2 linked regions of the Canis lupus familiaris genome follow. The protein of the gene in region 2 interacts with the protein of the main gene of each other region in a pairwise test. Links are inferred from orthologs where the notes say so. Each region holds a gene or a part of one and is shown on either strand. Other genes may lie near its edges.

Evidence for each region.
Region 1: the proteins of TNNI3 (region 2) and TNNC2 interact in binary tests that used the Homo sapiens proteins (3 or more experiments, as listed by UniProt). The two-hybrid records come from large-scale screens. The link is inferred for Canis lupus familiaris from reciprocal best matches to the Homo sapiens genes TNNI3 and TNNC2.

The regions. Positions count from the first base shown.
Region 1 is NC_049245.1:33,759,240-33,764,568, reverse strand, and holds TNNC2 (troponin C, skeletal muscle), read left to right. Parts: upstream 1-2,009; 5' UTR 2,010-2,130; coding exon 2,131-2,133; intron 2,134-3,554; coding exon 3,555-3,606; intron 3,607-3,729; coding exon 3,730-3,873; intron 3,874-3,961; coding exon 3,962-4,076; intron 4,077-4,212; coding exon 4,213-4,349; intron 4,350-4,480; coding exon 4,481-4,512; 3' UTR 4,513-4,669; downstream 4,670-5,329. UniProt on the Homo sapiens protein: Troponin is the central regulatory protein of striated muscle contraction. Tn consists of three components: Tn-I which is the inhibitor of actomyosin ATPase, Tn-T which contains the binding site for tropomyosin and Tn-C.
Region 2 is NC_049222.1:103,239,501-103,244,979, forward strand, and holds TNNI3 (troponin I, cardiac muscle), read left to right. Parts: upstream 1-1,765; 5' UTR 1,766-1,904; coding exon 1,905-1,915; intron 1,916-2,150; coding exon 2,151-2,163; intron 2,164-2,301; coding exon 2,302-2,388; intron 2,389-2,752; coding exon 2,753-2,794; intron 2,795-3,096; coding exon 3,097-3,228; intron 3,229-3,603; coding exon 3,604-3,693; intron 3,694-3,827; exon of another isoform or gene 3,828-4,109; intron 4,110-4,190; coding exon 4,191-4,367; intron 4,368-4,792; coding exon 4,793-4,876; 3' UTR 4,877-4,939; downstream 4,940-5,479. Other genes in the region: DNAAF3 (dynein assembly factor 3, axonemal), read left to right, coding at 103-217, 372-446, 537-792. UniProt on the Homo sapiens protein: Troponin I is the inhibitory subunit of troponin, the thin filament regulatory complex which confers calcium-sensitivity to striated muscle actomyosin ATPase activity.

The DNA.
Region 1 (5,329 bases), on a different chromosome or scaffold from region 2:
GCCAGGTGCCCTTTTAAATATATATATTTTATATCTATCTCTATATATAAACTCATGACAAGAGTTTATATAAGTATATATATAAGAGTTTATATATAAGATCAAGAGTTGCATGCTCTACCGACTGAGCTAGCCAGGCACCACAAGGAAGTGATGTTCAAGTTGAGAAAGATGACAGGGATGTAGGCAGGTGAAGAGAAGATGGGGGTTACGGGCAGAAAACAAACAGCATGTACAAAGACCTGGAGGCTCTAAAGGGTGGCGTTTGGAGCTCTATTTTAACTTGACCAGACCAGAGCAGCATGCAAGATGGGGAGGAAAGGGGATTGAGATTGGGAGGTTAAAGGGAATAGATAAATCTGGACCTTATCTATTTCTCTGAATAAATGCAAGAACAAATTAATGAACAAATGGTTGTGGAGCGTTCCAAACTCTCTGCTTCAAAGAAATCATTGTGGTTCCAGGGCTCACATCCAAATTGGACTCCCCTAGTGTCGCTGCCCCTTGGCCCTCTGCCTGGCAGGGGGAGGCCTTATGTAGCCCGGCTTGGCTCCACTGAGCTTTTCTTGGGAATGTCTATAAATAGAGGAAGATGGCAGCCCAGCTGCCACTGTCTATCTGCCTTTCCTTGGAATCCAGCCTCCTTTCGCTGGCCCTGGGCTCTGCGCTCAGTTGCCTTAGTGCTCTTTCTGTTGACTTAGCTGCTGTCCACAGCCTCGGCTACCTCTCCAACACCCAGCCCAGACCCTGGGTGTTGGGCTCAGTATGGACTAGACTTGCTCTGCCCATCCCTTCACTCTCCAGATGGCCGGCCAAGCTGCTCCAGACTTCTTCACCGAGCTCTAGGAAAGGGCCTGCTGCCCCTTTACCCACCTAGAGAACCTGCCCCCAGTCCCCCTCTCCCTCAAAAAAAGTGAATCACAAACACCGTTTCCCTGGAGCAGGTAAACTCGAAAGATCTGCTTTCAATGTTTATTTATTAATTAAAAGATTGTATTTATTTATTCAGAGAGATACAGAGAGAGAGAGAGAGGCAGAGACATAGGCAGAGAGAGAAGTAGGCTCCCTGTGGGGAGCCCAATGTGGGACTCCATCCCTAGACTGGGATCATGCCCTGAGCCAAAGGCAGACACTCAGCTGCTGAGCCACCCAGGCATCCCTCAATGTTTATTTCTCTTCCAAATGCATACCCATCTCCTGGATCTGTAGATTTCTCCTTTGGACAGGTCCCCTCCTGGCTGTCCCAACTTCCCTTCAGGAATAATAAGAATCATTGACATGACTATAGACCTTTGTGATTTAACAAAGCTCCCCAGTAAAAAGGGAATAATAATAGCTTCTCCCCTATAGATGACGACTAGGTGAGATCACATGGTTAAAATGCTTAGCATGGAGTGTGAACCTAGAGGTTCAGTGACTGGCTGTCATTCTCTCCTCCTCCCCTCCCCTGCCCTCTAGCATGGTTCAGACAGGACATTCCACTTGCCAAGCACCAACCCTATAGAGCAGGCACAAGCTCGGCGACTTACACCTGGGCCCCATTTCTCATTGGTCTCTCTGTGAGGGCGGGTCATGACTGTCCCCATCTCCACCTCACAGAGAAGGAAACTGAAGCTCAGAAACTGAAGCTCAGAGTGGCATGTCACCTGCCTAAGAGTACACAGCTTGCAAAGAAAGTATTGGGTTTAAGACTTCAAGGCTCGTGCTCTTTCCTGTCTGCCATGCTGCTTCAACTTTTCTGGATTCTGATTATCCTCACCCATCTTGGAGCAAGCGTGTTTCTTGAGCAGGGGCTCCCTAAAGCAGTGGAGCAGGGCGGGTTCTTCTCCCAAGAATCTAGGACGTCAAGGCCTGCCACCTGCTCACAGGCTTAAATTTCTCTGCAAGGGCCCTTGGCTAAATTAGGTAATGGGCCAGGACTCTGGAATGGGGGTGGGGGAGGAAAGGAGGAGGTGCTCACTGACCCCAGGATCTGATTGGCCAGGGCAATTAGTCCTGGGGAGCAGAGAGGTGGGAGGAGAGGGTGCCCCTACAAATCCAAGGTGCTGGAGCAGGCCAGGGTATCTTTGGGTGGTGGAGTGCTGAGGAGGTGACTGACCTGAAGCAGGGGAGGCCCAGTGACTTGCAACCATGGTAAGGACAAGAAGGAACTTCATCCCTTTGCTTGCTGGAGCACTTCTGGACCTCTTCCAGGCCAGATCTGGGTGCTCTGTAGTTCAGTAATTGGACGTTTAAAGATGGAACATGTAGGCTCCTGGAGCCTAGATGTCTAGGAGGAAGCCTGGGAAGAAGGCCTTGGACTTCTCTAGGAAGGGGAGGGCTGGGTGCTCTGGGATTGCCAACTCCCTGCAGACCTAAGGCTTTGGCAGTGTTGGCCACGGAATTGTGAGGGGGGTGTTAGCTTGTCTCCCTCACGGTGGAGGTGGGGACCCTGAGGGCCAGAGTGAGTCACCTAGCAAGCCAGTGGCTGGGGTGAGCTAGCTGGAGGTCTTGCCAAATCATCCTACTGCCGGTGAGAGGAGTCCTCTAGAAGAAGGGAGGCCTACAGAGCTTCAAGCCAGCTAAGGTGCAGGATCCCAAGAGCTATGAGGGAGAGAAGGGGCAGAAGATGATAGACCAAGGTTAGAGACCCCAGCCTCCCAGAGAGGGAGGTCATTTCCCCTGAGGTCCCTCTCCCCACTTCAAGGGGTAACTAGACCCCACAGGACAGCTGCTGTTGCCCATGCCAGGCTAAAAATAGCCTGCCCTCCTGCATGGTCAAGGAGGAGGGAGGAGGGGAGGGTAAGGAGGAGGGCAGTGGCTAGCTGGCCGCCGAAGAAGGCCTTGGCCACCTCAGCCCCTCCTCCCCGCCAGCCTCAGTCCAAAGTCCCATAGCCAGATGGCTTGGCTTGGATGTGGCCAGATCGCCTCCCCCGAAATCTTATTTCCACCTCCACAAGGCCCCCATTATATTCTGTCCAGCATGATTATGATTTACTCCAATGGCTAAGTGATAAGAAGGGAGCTTAAAATCTCCATCTCCACAAGTTGTCGGAGGGAAGGGATGGGTGTCTGGGTCTTCTTGGCCTCAGTGTCCAGTGTCTGGCCTGACGCTTAGTTGGGGCTCAATGACTCTGCCTTGCATTATTGAGAACATTTACTGAGCCCCTATTATAGTACCAGGCTCTACTGGGAGCTGGGGGACACTGAAAAATGATGCTGGAATAGTGCTGGTACTTTACAAAACTCTTTGACGTCTCTGATCTTTTCATTCTTGAAAAGCAGCTGAGAAGAGCTAGAGTAGAATAAGTGACTTGCCCAAGGTTAGAAAGGGGGATTCCTGACTTGACATCTGATTAGCAGGTTTGGAGACCCTGGGCATAATCTGTTTCCTCCTTGTTCTTCAAAACTGGGGTTCAGGTGCTGCGGGAGCATGCAGAAGGTGTTGTTAGTTTGGAACTGTTCTTCTGGAAGACCAAAGGGCACTGACAGAAAGGGGTTGAAGAGAAGGGGGTTAAGGCAAGAATGAGCTCTGGGGCCACCCCTTCTGCTGGCTGACTCTGTGTCTCCTGCAGACGGACCAGCAGGCGGAGGCCCGGTCCTACCTCAGCGAGGAGATGATCGCTGGTGAGTGCGGGCCGGCGGGCGGGTGGCTGCGTGCTGGGCAGTGCTGGGGGCTGGGCAGGGTGGGAGGGAGGGTGTGAGGCTGACAGTCCAGCCAGGCCCACCTCGGTCCTCTGCCTCGCTCAGAGTTCAAGGCTGCCTTCGACATGTTCGACGCTGATGGTGGCGGGGACATTAGCGTCAAGGAGTTGGGCACGGTGATGAGGATGCTGGGCCAGACCCCCACCAAAGAGGAGCTGGACGCCATCATCGAGGAGGTGGACGAGGATGGTGAGCAGGTGGCCCTCCAGGGGCTGCGACTGCGGCGGGCGGGGTGGGCCCGCAGGGCTCAGGCTCACTCGCCACCTGCTCGCCTCAGGCAGCGGCACCATCGACTTCGAGGAGTTCTTGGTCATGATGGTGCGCCAGATGAAAGAGGATGCGAAGGGCAAGAGCGAGGAGGAGCTGGCCGAGTGTTTCCGCATCTTCGACAGGTGCACTGAGGGCTGGGGAGCCGAGAAGGCGCTGGGCTGGGCGAGTGCGCGGACCAGGCGGCGCGGGTGGGCGGTGTGGGGGTGTGGGGGGCGGCTCGCCCCCGCCTGTCCTGACACCCTGTCCCTTCGCCCCAAGGAACGCAGACGGCTACATCGATGCGGAGGAGCTGGCTGAAATCTTCAGGGCCTCCGGGGAGCACGTGACAGACGAGGAGATTGAGTCCCTGATGAAAGACGGCGACAAGAACAACGACGGCCGCATCGACTTCGACGGTGAGGGCGGGCGCGGGGCGCGGGGCGCGGGGCGCGGGGCGGGGCTCCCACGCGGCCGTCCGTGGCTTTGTCCGCAGGGCGGGAGCCCCGGCGGTGCGTGCGACTGACGCTTCCGCGCTCCATCCCCGCAGAGTTCCTGAAGATGATGGAAGGCGTGCAGTAAGAAGTCGCCCCCGCATCCGCCCCGACGCGCGTCCCTCGGGCGAGGGCGGGCCCGGCACCCCCGCCCCGCCCCGTCACGGCCTCAGCCCCAGGAGGGAGGCGCGGCCCCTGCGGGCTCTGTGTGCAGGGGAATAAAAGCAGACACTGCGAAGCGCGTAGCCTGAGTGAGGGTGTCAGGGCCCGCCTGGCTGGGCCGCCGTCCGGGGCACCACCCGAGCGCCTCGGGGCTCCAAGGAGCGGGCACCCGAGTTGCGGGACGCACCGAGGCGCGGGACCCCGGGCAGGTTCCCGGGCGCTGGCGCTGGGCGTGCACAGCTCGGCCGGCGGGGTTGCCGCGGCGCCTGGCGCTGGAGGAGGGAGGCCGGCGGTGGGGGTGCGGGTTGGCGCTTGGAGCTGTCGGGGTGAGGGTGCCGGGGATGGCGGGTAGGGTGAGGGCGCGGCAGGAGGCTGGAACCCGCGGGAGGCCGAGGTGAGGCCCCTTTCCTTCCCCGCCGTCGTTCCTTTCTGGAGCCTTTGGGTCTGGGGTGCAAGCTACCGGGCTGGCGATGGAGAAGCGGGTATCGTATCCATCCGTTCCAGGCAGCATTCACTCTTGGTTGACTTTTTCTACTTCGTCTGTTCTGAGCGTTTATAGGTGCTCCATACTGGAGATGGGAGAGGAGGGTAGGGGCACACAGCCGGGAAGGAGGTTCTGACGTCATCATCTCCACCCTGCATCCCTGCCTCCAGCTCCCGCCAATGCCAGTGTGCTCAACATGGGGCCATTAGCAAGATCTAGCTAAAAGAAATCTGACCTGGCTGCTCCCTTGTTGAAATAC
Region 2 (5,479 bases):
AATCCATCTACGAGAGATGATGAGAAAGGGCTTCAAGACAGGTAGGCAAGGAGCATTATCTCCAAGCTTGGTGTGCCTGCCTAACTGCGGGTTCATCCCCAGCTGCCTCTGCCCCGGGATTCTTCACTGTGCGCTTCCTGCCTCTCGGCTCTGCAGAAACCCTTCACCACAAGAGCTGCTACAAGGGACGGTTCCAGCTGCTTTATGTGGCCTGTGGGTAAGAAAGAGGTCTCTGGCTCCTCTGCCCTCACACCCAGAAATCCTGGCCCTCAGCCCCTCCTCAGTCAGCACCCAGATTCCCTGGCCCCACTACTCCCTCAGGACCTGAAAGTCTAAGTCTCAGCCCTCAGCCCTCACTTTTCTCTACTCAGGATGGTGCATCTTCTCAGCCCCGATCTCGGGGCCTGTGTGGCCCCCGGAGGACGCTTGGTGGTGGAATTGGCCCGGTGAGCCAGCCAGTGGGAGCGCAGGGCAGGGAATATCCAGCCCTGGGCTCACAGCCGGGGACCCCCTAACATACCCCTTCCTTGTTTCAGGTACCTGGTGGACTTGAGGCAGGAGCAGTTGCAGGGCTTTGCTGCCCGGGTTGGAGAGTTAGCTCAGGCGGCTGGATTCACGCCCCCACCCCAGGCCAGGCCCTCGGAGACCTTTGCGCGCTTCTGCAAAGCCTTGGACTCTGCTGGCCAGCACACTGACTCAGCTTCGGAATCCATGACTCCGCCCCCTGACACCCTGGCTCCGGCCCTTGAGAACCAGAGTCAGCCTCTCAAAGGCGGGACCCCACCCTCTTAGCCCCTCAAACTGCGCTCAGAACCCCTCAAACTCCAGCTCTACTCCCCAAGGTTCTGGCTCCACCCACAGAGAGTCTGACCCCATTCCCAGATATCCAGTCCCCCATCTCTGACCTCTAAGGTCAGGTCCTGGAAGTAGAGCTTGCCTCTAGAATATTCACTCGGGTATACTCTCAATATTCTCCAACAGCTCCAGCGGTGTCCCTAGAATTTCAGATTACCTTCCTGGGATTCTATATTCTGTTCCTAGAATTCTAGAGTGTTCTTTCAGGGTTCCACATTCCATTCTTGAGACTCTAGAGATCCGGCCCTGAGTCTCAGGCCCTCTATGTGGTTTTCTTGTCCTCAGAGGTCCTATTTTACCTGAGGGTTGGGGGAATCTGCTTTCCAGGGCTGGTCCACACCCACATAGTCCAGATAAAAAGAGTGGTGTCCTCTTCTTCATGTGCCCTTGTGTCTTTGTCTTCACTTTTGTCTCCAGGGCTGGGACAGGGAAGGGGCTAGGGTGGTTAAGAGAGGAGACCTAGTTCCAAGTGGATTTCTCTGGGCTGTTATTGCCTGAGAGTCTGGACCATACCTGGATCGTCACATAAATCAACAAAATTTATTGAGTGGCTAACAGGTTTGGGACACAGAAACTGATCATAGCTCTCATGGAGATCACTGTTTAGTGTGGGGATGAGCCCCAGACTTCTGGGTCTGAAGAACCAAGGAGCTGGGGGCCTGAACTCCTGCATCTGAGGGAGGAAGGGCTGGGGGCCTGAACTCCTGTGTCTGCTGGAGGAGGGGAATGGGGGCCTGAACCCCTGCGTGTGAGGGAGGAGGGGCTGGGTTCCAGGCCTCCAAGGTGGAAGGGTGATCCAGCTGGAGCACAGCCCACCCCACCCCTCACGCGCCCCGGTTATCTCACATCCTGGGCAGGGGGAGGAGGTGGCAGCAGTATATTTAGTCTCAGTCCACGCCCCTTATCTCAGTGTCTTCAGTGAAGCTTGAGCAGTGCAGACAGACTGAAGCTCTGGGGGCCTTCAAGGTCATCCCGGATGCCCCCTCACTGACCTTCCAATCGCCCCTTGCCCTTCTTTGCCTCCTGCAAGCCTTGGCCTGAGTCTGCGCATGGCGGATGAGTGAGTGCATCTAGGGAACTCGGACCTGCAGGGCCCGAGGCGGTGGGACGTGGGCCTGTGAGGCCTGAGGAGGGAGGTGGGGACAGACTCCTGGCTATCGGCACGAAGAAAGGTTTGGGAACCAGACTCCCTGGAACCCGAGGACTGGGCAGCTGGTGGGCGGCCCCTGGGGTCCCTTAGACTGGACGGGACAGAGGCCCACCATTAACCCCCCCTTCCCGGTCTCTTCCTTCAGGAGCGGCGATGCGGTGAGAGGAGGCGCAGGCCGGGGTCCACGGCAGGGGAGGGAGCCGCAGGGTGGGCCCTGGGGCGGGAGGTGGCAGCTCCACCCGTAGAGGGGCGCTGGGGGGGCCCGCAGTGACGTGGCTCCATCCCCCCAACCCCAGGCGGGGTGCCCGCCCCCCGCTCCGGCCCCGATCCGACGCCAGTCTTCCGCCAACTACCGCGCGTACGCCACGGAGCCGCACGCCAAGGTGAGCGAGGGGCTGGCGGGGCTCGGTTCCCGGTCCGCAGAGGGGGCGGGACCCAGGGGTGGAGGGGCGGTGCCAGAGCCTTGGCTGGGGCGGGGCTTTGGCTGTGGGCGGAGCCTAGGAGGAAGCTGCGCCCTAGGGGCGGGGTTTTGCGGAGGGAGGGCTCGGATTGGTGTGGCCTGCCTATGGGCGGAGTTCGTTGCCCATGGGAACTGCCTAAGCAGTCAGGGGGTCAGGGTTGGTGGATGGGGCTGAGGGGCTCAGCTTCAGCGGGAAGCGAGTCCAAATCTGGAACCTACCCATGCCCCCGACCATCTGTCTCCTACTCCCCGCCCTGATTATTCCTTGCTCCATGTCACCCCGGCAGAAAAAGTCCAAGATCTCCGCCTCGAGGAAACTGCAGCTGAAGGTGCTGGTGGGCCTGGAGGGGGCGCCTAGGTGTCCTCAGGGGGTGGAGCTGGAGGGTCGGGTGCGGGAGGGGGTAGGACGAGGCCTCAGTGGGGAGTGAGCGTGGCTTGTGGTGAGCAGCACCCACCCTCTCCCCGCCACGGGGGCGGAGCCTCGGATTGAAGGGGAGCGTCTCTGGAAAACCGCGGACCCTGCCTGGAACTGGGGGGCTGTCCTGGCCAGGGCGGCCTCCCCGGTGCGGATGCCGCGCAGCCCTCATCCGCCTCCCCGGGTGGGCTGCGGTCCCCGGCCTCGCCTCTGCAGACCCTGATGCTGCAGATCGCGAAGCAAGAGCTGGAGAGGGAGGCGGAGGAGCGGCGCGGAGAGAAAGGGCGCGCCCTGAGCACGCGGTGCCAGCCGCTGGAGTTAGCCGGGCTGGGCTTCGCGGAGCTGCAGGTACCGTTCTCATCAGGGACTCCTGCCCAGCTGGGGATCCGAGGTACCTAGTGACCGCTCCTGCATGGTTTGGACTCACCGGTCTAGTCACTGTCCCCTACCTCTGCTCTGGACCTTGTGATCCAGTCTGCTAATCCTTACCCTCAGGAGTTCAGAAATATGGCCTGCAGCTGCCTACAGTCTCAAAACCCAGAGATTAGGCTCTCCAGCCCCAATTCTGTCAGATTCTCAGGACTCCTGGCTCCCAGCACCCTTTATTCCAGCTGCCCCAGAGTCCTCTAGGACTAGATGTCCAGGCCCCCAGGGCCTCCTCCCTCAGACTCAGGAGTCAGAGTACCCCCGTCCCCCAACCACACATACCACATTCTTGACCAGGACTTGTGCCGACAACTCCACGCCCGAGTGGACAAAGTGGATGAAGAGAGATACGATGTGGAGGCGAAAGTCACCAAGAACATCACAGAGGTGGGGGGCCCTGGGCAGTCTTGGTCCCTTCGGGTAAAGTCTGGTGCCTGGGGTTGTGGTCTCAGTCCACGCCCTTGCAGCTGCTGTTGACTGCAGACACCAGGAGACCCAGGACAGCTGGGCCTGGCAGGGATGGGGCAGAAGAATGAGTATAAAGTGGTTAGGGAAGGCTGTTCCAGGCAGAGGGGACAATAGCACACAAAAGCCAGGAGTTGGGAACGCAGAAGCTGTATTCGTGGAAATGTGTAGCTGGAGCATCGGGTGTTGTTGATAGGTGAGCTCAGGCATGGGTCAGGAAATTGTGGGATGCATGCAGCAGCACCAGGAGGTGTCAAGTGTTTTTCAGAGAGGAGGCTGGGCCCGTCGGGAGGGCTTACAGTTACTGGATGAGGAGCCTGGATGAGACCTCCATAGGCCTGGAAAGAGAGCAGAGGGAAGTATAGGGTGGAAGAATGGGTCTGGTGGAGGTTTCTACCTTCCCTTATGGCTGCCCCCAGATAGCAGATCTGACCCAGAAGATCTTTGACCTTCGTGGCAAATTTAAGCGGCCCACCCTGCGGAGGGTGAGGATCTCTGCAGATGCCATGATGCAGGCGCTGCTGGGCACCAGGGCTAAGGAGTCCTTAGACCTGCGGGCCCACCTCAAGCAGGTGAAGAAGGAGGACACAGAGAAGGTGAGTGTGGCTAGAGCCAGGAAAGGGGGTGCTCAGAGGAGAGGGTGTGGGACATAACAGTCATTGGGCCTAAGCTCAGGGCAGATGCTACTTGGAGTTATGGGGAGAAGAATCTGGTAAGAGGTCCCCAATAGGAAGTATAGGAGGGGCATAGGAAGTGCAAGGGGAAGCCAGAAAGTAGAAGGGGAAGCCAGGAAGTGCATTAGGGAGAAAGGAAGTAGCAAGGCCAGAAGTGCATGAGGGAGATAGGATGTGCATGGGGGCAACTTTGATGGGATCGCCTGAGGGGATGAGAAGCCTTCCAGAAGCAGATCTCAAAATGGACATCCAAAGCAGAGTGGCCCAGCGGGCCAAAGATTGGGGGGAGGCTATTTGAGAGAGTGTAGATGGGAGAGAAGCCCTCACTCCTGGCCCCATTCCTCCAGGAAAACCGGGAGGTGGGAGACTGGCGTAAGAACATCGATGCGCTGAGTGGAATGGAGGGCCGCAAGAAAAAGTTTGAAGGCTGAGCTGGCTGCCCCCTGCCCTGGCCCTGAAGGTGTCCTTGAGGAATAAAGTTTCTCTCTGAGCTAGAAATGGCTGCAAGTCTGCTACCTGGGGGTCCGGTGTGAGGGAGATGAGAAGACTGAGGGGAGAGTCCCCCAAAGCCACACCACACAGCAGGAGCAGAGCTGGGTCTGCAGTAGGGGGCGTTCCCAGCTCTTATGCCTCACACGCAGGGTGTGCAGAGATGCCCAGACCGAGGTCCAAGGAGAGAGACATGCACACACACAGAGACAGCCAGAGACCCACAGAGAGGGAGAAAAGACAGAGATTCCTAGAAAGACCTGCAAAGAAAGGGGAAATGGAGAGGCCGATGTGCACAAAGCACATCAGAGACCACCAAACAAGGCAGAAATAGGGACTGAAAGAGGGACAATGCAGAGACATGGAGGAAGACACGGATGCAGAGCCAAAGAAAGACATAAATGAGGTCACACACATTCATATGCCAGTAGACAGATTCACAGAAATTGACAGATTCACCCCCAGAAATGCAGAGACAAAAATGCATGGGGAGACACAGGGAGTGAAAACACAGACTCGGAGAGACCCAGAGAGACAGCCCCTGG